Macaca fascicularis: one gene and its partner. The protein of the gene in region 2 interacts with the protein of the main gene of each other region in a biochemical or structural test. Links are inferred from orthologs where the notes say so. Each region holds a gene or a part of one and is shown on either strand. Other genes may lie near its edges.

The links.
Region 1: the proteins of UBC (region 2) and PDE12 form a complex in vitro, tested with the Homo sapiens proteins (4 studies listed by BioGRID). The link is inferred for Macaca fascicularis from reciprocal best matches to the Homo sapiens genes UBC and PDE12.

What each region holds. Positions count from the first base shown.
Region 1 is NC_088376.1:120,636,372-120,640,542, reverse strand, and holds the end of PDE12 (2',5'-phosphodiesterase 12), read right to left. Parts: intron 3,250-4,171; coding exon 3,171-3,249; intron 2,997-3,170; coding exon 2,554-2,996; 3' UTR 510-2,553; downstream 1-509. UniProt on the Homo sapiens protein: Enzyme that cleaves 2',5'-phosphodiester bond linking adenosines of the 5'-triphosphorylated oligoadenylates, triphosphorylated oligoadenylates referred as 2-5A modulates the 2-5A system. Degrades triphosphorylated 2-5A to produce AMP and ATP.
Region 2 is NC_088385.1:132,077,541-132,081,754, forward strand, and holds UBC (polyubiquitin-C), read right to left. Parts: upstream 2,801-4,214; 5' UTR 2,737-2,800; intron 1,903-2,736; 5' UTR 1,900-1,902; coding exon 298-1,899; 3' UTR 230-297; downstream 1-229.

The sequences.
Region 1 (4,171 bases), on a different chromosome or scaffold from region 2:
ATAGAAAAATGCAATCACACAGGTGCTTTAAACATATTTCTGAATAACACTGCCTTCTAACTCGTGAGTACAAAGAAATGTGTATGCTATTTATACATTTTCTTAGTGTTCTCTACCTTTGGACTCCAATCATTTTAACCTATCTGTATATTGGAGATTTGATCAGAGTGTATGGCACTTCACAATAACATTCCATGTCCTAATAATCTGAAATGCCTGTATACAATCTGAGTATATTGTTTAGTCAGAAAATATCAAAATTAAGGATATAGGACATGGAATGTCTGTTAAGTGCTGAGTTTTCTGACTACAGTTTAGCCAGTGCTAATGTGGAACCTGTATGCTTTTTTCATGGGCATGTTTGAATTTTTTCTTTCAAAATGTATCTCAACTTTTTGATGTCACACTTTGTTTTCTCCCAAGTCACTCTAAGGGTTCTATCAACATCTTTGTTTGAAAGCAGACCAAAAATGTATTTTTAAAATGAAAAAAAAATTCACAAGAGAATCAAGTTTTGGTTTTAATCTATTATTTACATATTTGTAAACTGCTGTTAAAATGCTATCAAAAATGTTATTTAGGAAGGCACAATTTGGTAGCATCAATTTTTTATTTATAGTTTTTTCTAAACAAGATCCCAAGAAACTTCCACTTTAATTTTTCCCTTGGAGTACTTAAAGTACTTCAAGGTTCAATGTCAAGTGCAGATAAAACCCCGTCATTTTCAAACTTACTAAGAGTTAACAATACATTTGATAGTGAGCAGAATATGAAAGTACAGATATTACCAAAAGAGGAAAATTTTATGATACTGGGTTCAGAGATTAAAGAATTTGAAACAAGGGCTTTCATGACTGGGGAAAATCAAAGCTTTTCTTGAAGGGGTGGTCTTTTAATACTCGAGCTATTAATTAAATGCAGAAATGAGATAACATAGTTATCCTGAACATCAAAAAAGCAACAGCTAATACAGCTAATGCATTATAAATAATGTGTTTGATAATTGGATTAGTAAAGCCTGGTTACCACTCTAGGCTAGACACTAATCAGTATAACCATTTGTAGTTTCTAATTTTAAAAAGTTTGGCTTCATATTTAAATTTCCTTTTACTATATATATATTACATATATACACACTGTTGTCTGTAACTCAAACTATAATGCTTGTCTATAAAAAGAATAGGTTTTTTATTTCAGAGATGCTTAAAAGTCCCACTACTCACCCTTTTTCTTGTTTATAAAAACCAACAATTTTGAAATTACTTCTAGCGTAGAAATGCTCAATGATTCACCCAAAATTTCAAGCCCATATCATTAGGTAGTTTCTCATAAATGAATATATTGTGCTGTATTTTCTAATATCATATGGTCAAATACCCTGTTCATTTATGAATATTTTTCATGGGCAAGAGTAACTAAAGACAATAGGATCAAGTTGGATATGTTGCTACTGACTTTGAATACTAAATTGTGCTTGCATCCTAAAAATTAAAATGAGCTGCAGTAAGAATTAGAATATAAACTGTGTTCATTTGTTCCATACACTAAAAACTAAAATCCTAAAAATAAGAATGAAAATACCTTACTTGTTCATTGAGAAATGAAAGATGAGAAGCAATAACAATTGGTGACGATTTATTTTTATCTTTTGTTAAAGCTCTGAAATTGTAGTAAATCACTAACTAAATTGAGGTAGAGGTAGACCCTAATGTTACTCCTTCCATGTGTCAAGTCTCTCCACCTTAGGTCTCTAAGGTCACCTGTAACTTAAGTCTCTCACCCTTAACTTACATACATTTTCCCTCTTAGTACATAAGCATGATTCATTTTGGAATGTGTTGTCATGAAAGAAAAATTAAGATCATTCAAATGGTACTTTAAAAATTCTGAACTACTAGCTAAAAAAATTCTCTTATAAAAATATACACAAGGGCCAGGCTCGGTGGCTCACGCCTGTAATCCCAACACTTTGGGAGGCCGGGACGGGTGGATCACCTGAGGTCAGGAGTTCGAGACCAGCCTGGCCAACGTGGCGAAACCCCATCTCTACTAAAAATACAAAAATTAGCCAGATGTGTTGGCGCATGCCTGTAATCCCAGCTACTTGGGCGGCTGAGGCAGGAGAATCGCTTGAACCCAGGGGGCGGAGGTTGCAGTGAGCCGAGATCACGCCATTGCACTCCAATCTGGACAACAAGAGCAAAACTCTGTCTCAAAAAAAAAAAACAAAAAACAAAACCAAACAAAAAACCACGATAATTCAATCTTCTTTTTCTGAGAGTCTTAAATTGGAGAAAAATAATATAATTTTCTATCTTGCTAGTAATAAATATATTTGTTTCTCCTCCAAGTGTAGAGGAAAACGAGGAAAGAGAAGCTGTATGATGCAAACATTATCAACAGTTTCATTAATGAAGACATCGGGAACATAACTAGGAGGGTTGAACATTTTACCATTCCTCTTTGAAGGTTACATATAAGCTTTGATTCATATTAAATTTTCTGCTAAAATAACTACTTCCTTTTCAGACTTCAATTCCATTAAACACACATCTATTTCCATTTTAAATCACATACAAGTGCTATGTGATCAGAGGGATGGGAAACACTAGGTAAGGCCTGGTGGGTGGTAACTTCTTCATGACTAGGTAATGGAATCACCTGTTCAACCTCTAAAGCATTTAAGTCAATGAAAATGTAATCTAGACATCCATGAAAGCCACCAACATAATTTGTGTAAGCAGGTTCACCACAAGCACTTTTCAGCTTGAAGAAATGCGTAAGAGACATGTTGCATCTTTCCTCCTCCCCATTGGAAGCCCAGTCTTCATGATCCTCTGGAATGCTGCCATTGATGACAAAATGATACATTCCTGTTGATGGTGTACTATTAAAGTCCCCACAAAATATAACTGGTATGCCAGGATACAGATCACATGAAACATGTCTAATGTGAGCCAAGGCTACTGCCATTTGAATGAGGCGAATATACCCACCTATGAATATAAAAAACATTAATGTAAGTATTTTTTAAAGTTGTCTTTAAGTTAAAACGGAAAAACTACACAAATTACAATTTCTGGGTGACATTCAAGATATATATTTGTGTAAAACAGCTTTAAACAACCTTAAGCGCGTTTAAGTCACTTGTGATACCAAATAAAACCTACCTTTAGGATGCCAGTAAAGATGGGTATTAGCAACACATATCCTTTTAGAAGAGTCCTTTGTAGACTGAAGAACTGAAACCTAAAATAAACGGAAAGTGCCAAGAGTTCAGTTGGCATTTGCAAATCTCCTGAATGTTTTTGTTCGTTTGGTTGGTTTTTTTTTTTTTTTTTTTTGAGATGGAGTCTCACTCTGTCAACCAGGCTGGAGTGCAGTGGTGTGATCTCGGCTCACTGCAACCTTCGCCTTCCGGGTTCAAGCGATTCCCCTGCCTCAGCCTCCCGAGTAGCTGGGACTACAGGCGCCTGCCACCGCGCCTGGCTAATTGTTTTGTATTTTTAGTAGTGACGGGGTTTCACCGTGTTAGCCAGGATGATCTCGATCTCCTGACCTCGTGATCCGCCTGCCTTGGCCTCCCAAAGTGCTGGGATTACAGGCATAAGCCACCACGCCCCACCTGTTTTTATCTAAGACTATATGGCGAACTAACGTTTTCTTCCATCTCCTTCCCGTGATTAACTAGGACTGCAATCATGAAATCCGACTTGTTATTTAAGTTTCAGGATCTACATGACTAGGTTCAGTGTAACATGTTTTAATAATAGTCCAATATAGGCCGGGCGCGGTGGCTCACGCCTGTAATCCCAGCACTTTGGGAGGCTGAGGCGGGCGGATCACGAGGTCAGGAGATCGAGACCATCCTGGCTACCATGGTGAAACCCCAAACCCTGTCTCTATAAAAAAAATTAGCCGGGCGTGGTGGCAGTCCCCTGTAGTCCCAGCTACCCGGGAGGCTGAGGCAGGAGAATCGCTTGAACCCGGGAGGGAGAAGTTGCAGTGAGCCGAGATCGCGCCACCGTACTCCAGCCTAGGTGACAAAAACTCTGTCTCAAAATAGTAATAATAATAATAATAGTCCAATATATAAAGCTAGTAATATAAACAATACATTTTACATGACAACACTTTGACTGGAGAAAGTGTTTTCAAGCGTAAGCACAGG
Region 2 (4,214 bases):
ACACCTGCCTTTTTGTATTTGCAGTAGACATAGGGTTTCACCACATTGGCCAATCTGGTCTTGAAGCCGGCTTTTATTTGCACCCACCTTCTACAGTTCGTACTATATTAAGGTCAACCCCTTCACTGACATTTCACTGTTACCACAGCAACATTTGTAAACTGAAAACCTTGATCCCCTTCACCCAGTCTAATGCAAAATAACCTTAACTTTTAAAAAACCACACCAGTTGGGAATGCAACAACTTTATTGAAAGAAAAGTGCAATGAAATTTGTTGAAACCTTAAAAGGGGAAACTTAGACACCCCCCCTCAAGCGCAGGACCAAGTGCAGAGTGGACTCTTTCTGGATGTTGTAGTCAGACAGGGTGCGTCCATCTTCCAGCTGTTTCCCAGCAAAGATCAACCTCTGCTGGTCAGGAGGGATGCCTTCCTTGTCCTGGATCTTTGCCTTGACATTCTCAATGGTGTCGCTGGGCTCCACCTCAAGGGTGATGGTCTTGCCAGTGAGGGTCTTCACGAAGATCTGCATCCCACCTCTGAGGCGGAGCACCAGGTGCAGGGTGGACTCTTTCTGGATGTTGTAGTCAGACAGGGTGCGCCCATCTTCCAGCTGTTTCCCAGCAAAGATCAACCTCTGCTGGTCAGGAGGGATGCCTTCCTTGTCCTGGATCTTTGCCTTGACATTCTCAATGGTGTCGCTGGGCTCCACCTCAAGGGTGATGGTCTTGCCAGTGAGGGTCTTCACGAAGATCTGCATCCCACCTCTGAGGCGGAGCACCAGGTGCAGGGTGGACTCTTTCTGGATGTTGTAGTCAGACAGGGTGCGCCCATCTTCCAGCTGTTTCCCAGCAAAGATCAACCTCTGCTGGTCAGGAGGGATGCCTTCCTTATCCTGGATCTTTGCCTTGACATTCTCAATGGTGTCGCTGGGCTCCACCTCGAGGGTGATGGTCTTGCCAGTCAGGGTCTTCACGAATATCTGCATCCCACCTCTGAGACGGAGCACGAGGTGCAGGGTGGACTCTTTCTGGATGTTGTAGTCAGACAGGGTGCGCCCATCTTCCAGCTGCTTTCCAGCAAAGATCAACCTCTGCTGGTCAGGAGGGATGCCCTCCTTGTCCTGGATCTTTGCCTTGACATTTTCAATAGTGTCACTGGGCTCCACCTCAAGGGTGATGGTCTTGCCAGTCAGGGTCTTCACGAAGATCTGCATCCCACCTCTGAGACGGAGCACCAGGTGCAGGGTGGACTCTTTCTGGATGTTGTAGTCAGACAGGGTGCGCCCATCTTCCAGCTGTTTCCCAGCAAAGATCAACCTCTGCTGGTCAGGAGGGATGCCTTCCTTGTCCTGGATCTTTGCCTTGACATTCTCGATGGTGTCACTGGGCTCCACCTCGAGGGTGATGGTCTTGCCAGTGAGGGTCTTCACGAAGATCTGCATCCCACCTCTGAGGCGGAGCACCAGGTGCAGGGTAGACTCTTTCTGGATGTTGTAGTCAGACAGGGTGCGTCCATCTTCCAGCTGTTTCCCGGCAAAGATCAACCTCTGCTGGTCAGGAGGGATGCCTTCCTTGTCTTGGATCTTTGCTTTGACGTTCTCGATGGTGTCACTGGGCTCGACCTCGAGGGTGATGGTCTTGCCAGTCAGGGTCTTCACGAAGATCTGCATCCCACCTCTGAGGCGGAGCACGAGGTGCAGGGTGGACTCTTTCTGGATGTTGTAGTCAGACAGGGTGCGCCCATCTTCCAGCTGCTTTCCGGCAAAGATCAGCCTCTGCTGGTCGGGAGGAATGCCTTCCTTATCTTGGATCTTTGCCTTGACATTCTCAATGGTGTCACTGGGCTCAACCTCAAGGGTGATGGTCTTGCCAGTCAGGGTCTTCACGAAGATCTGCATTGTCTAACAAAAGAGCCAAAAACCACCAGCATTTAGCAGACAATGTACTAATCTTCCTAATACTTAAACTATATGTTATATTCACCCAAATGATTACAATTTAAAAGATACCTAAGAAACTTCACAAAATACACTCGCCAACCCCGAACGCATAGTTTAAAACTCAGACTTCAGCTACTTAAGAAAATAGGAACATAGAACTGACCAAAGAAACTGACGCCTCACTTATCCCTCCCCTCACCAGAGGTCAGGCCCCTGTCGACTCAGGAGGGCCTACCCTAGGCCCCAACCCTGCGTCCTGCGACGAAGAAAAGCCTACTGCACACCTACCGGCAGGTGGCCCCACCCCACATTATGAGCCAACAGAACGGATGACGTCACGACACTGCGAGGGCGCGCGCTCCTCAAGCTACGGGTGCACTGCCAAGTGGCACCGCCATTAACTGCCGCCCCCGCAACAGACGACAAAGCGAGTTCTCCGGTCAGTGACAGACTTCACATCAAGGTCCCCAAATGGTGCCCCAGCCCACCTCACCAGAATAAGAGCGTTCCCGCATTAGCGAAAACCTCAAGGCCTTGGGTTCTTGCCGCAAACCATGCCCCCCACCTTGTTTCAACAACCTCACAGCCCGCCTCACAACCGTCTTCCATTCAAGAGCCGGGAACAGCCGCCATTTTGCTGCGCTCCCCTCCCACCCGCTGCTCGGGGCACCTTGCTCGCGGACCCAGACTACAGCCCTCGGCGGCCTCTCATCCCGCGGCGTCGGCCCCCCTCCATCCCACCGAGCGGCCCAGCGGCCACGAAAGCCATGGCCGGCCCAGCAGCCCTCTGCTCACCAAGTGGCGATGACACCGACACACAAACAAGAACTGCGATCCCACTCCCGGCTGCGACGGAACTAGCTGCGCCACACCCGGCGCGTCCTTATATAGTCATCGGCGTTCACCGCCCCAAGGAAATTCCTCCGCAGAATCGCCGAGAAGGGACTACTTTTGCTCGCCCGTTCCGGTCTCTGGAAAGAAAACCAGTGCCCTACAGTCACCCAAGTCCCGTCCCAAAATGTCCTCCTGCTGAGACTGGGGTTCTGGGACTGAGTCTGGTGGGCAGCGGGCCGCCGTCCTGAGCGCCCAAGCGGAAGAATCAGGGCGCTCGCTGCGCCCTGCGGCCATGACGTGGAGGCGCTCGCCGAGAGGAGGGGGCGTCCGCGGGAGGCGCCAAAACCCGGTGCGGACTCTGCGGCGCCAGGAGCGGGTGGGCAGCCCGCGTTCCTCAGCCGCGGCCCCTCCCCTCAGCCCCCGCGGTCCCCTCGGGTCGCGAACCCCGCGTTCGGCGGACGTGGGGCGCGGACGGAGCGCCTCCCGCAGAGTCGGGGTCTCCCTCCCCTCCCTCGCGACCCGCCCTGGCCCACCCCGCGAGACGGACGGGTCTTTATTTTTGGGTCACATTTGAGATAATGACGGGGCTTTCTTTGCTCAGCCCCCCTCAGTCTTCCTGAGCTTCCCAGCCCGGTCGCGGGGGCTCCCCGGTGCCGCGCCCCTCCCCCGCTGCGGGCCGCGGGACAAGGACAATGACTCAGCAGATCTCAGGCCGGGCGCGGCCCTAAAGCTGGGGAACGCTCGAGAACTTTCGAGGGGAGACACTGCAGAGGAGCTGGTGTCCAGGTTAAATTTGGAAAAGTGAGGGGGAAACCCCACACAGTTTTTTTTTTTTAGCTGGAACCCAAGGCTGAGGGAACGACATCCTTCTAGACTGTTCTTTCACCTTCGTGTACATTCTGAGGGCCGGGTATGGAAAGGTCCTACTTGGTTTCAACAGGGAGGCCTAGAAATTTCTCTGGTTTCAATGGGTACGATTATTGTAATCAGGATCCATTCAATAATCGGACCCATTTAAACCGAAGGTTTTAAAAGACAGGAATAGAATCCCAGCCCTATTTCAGGGCAGGGTAGGGTGTCAAATATGAAATGTAATTCTACAGGGCAATTCTATTTTGATAAAAGAAGTGGGGAGAAAAGAATCACCAGCCAGGTTTTTAAATTTTTACCACAACCTATTTTGTGATCCTTATGTGTCATTTCTTCAGTATATTTTTAAAATGTTTTAACAAATACGAACATGGTGAGATTTTTTAAATGTGTCTTTTTAAAGTGTACAGTGAAAAGTCTCCCTCATGCCTTCAATTTCCCAGTCACTGTCCCTTCTGGAGTCTTCTAGAAATAGTCCCTGTTTCTACAAATGTATTGGAGGTAGGGAGACTATTTTGATTTCTACCCTTGAAAGCTTCAAAAAGAGAGAAAAAGAGGCTAGCAACTGA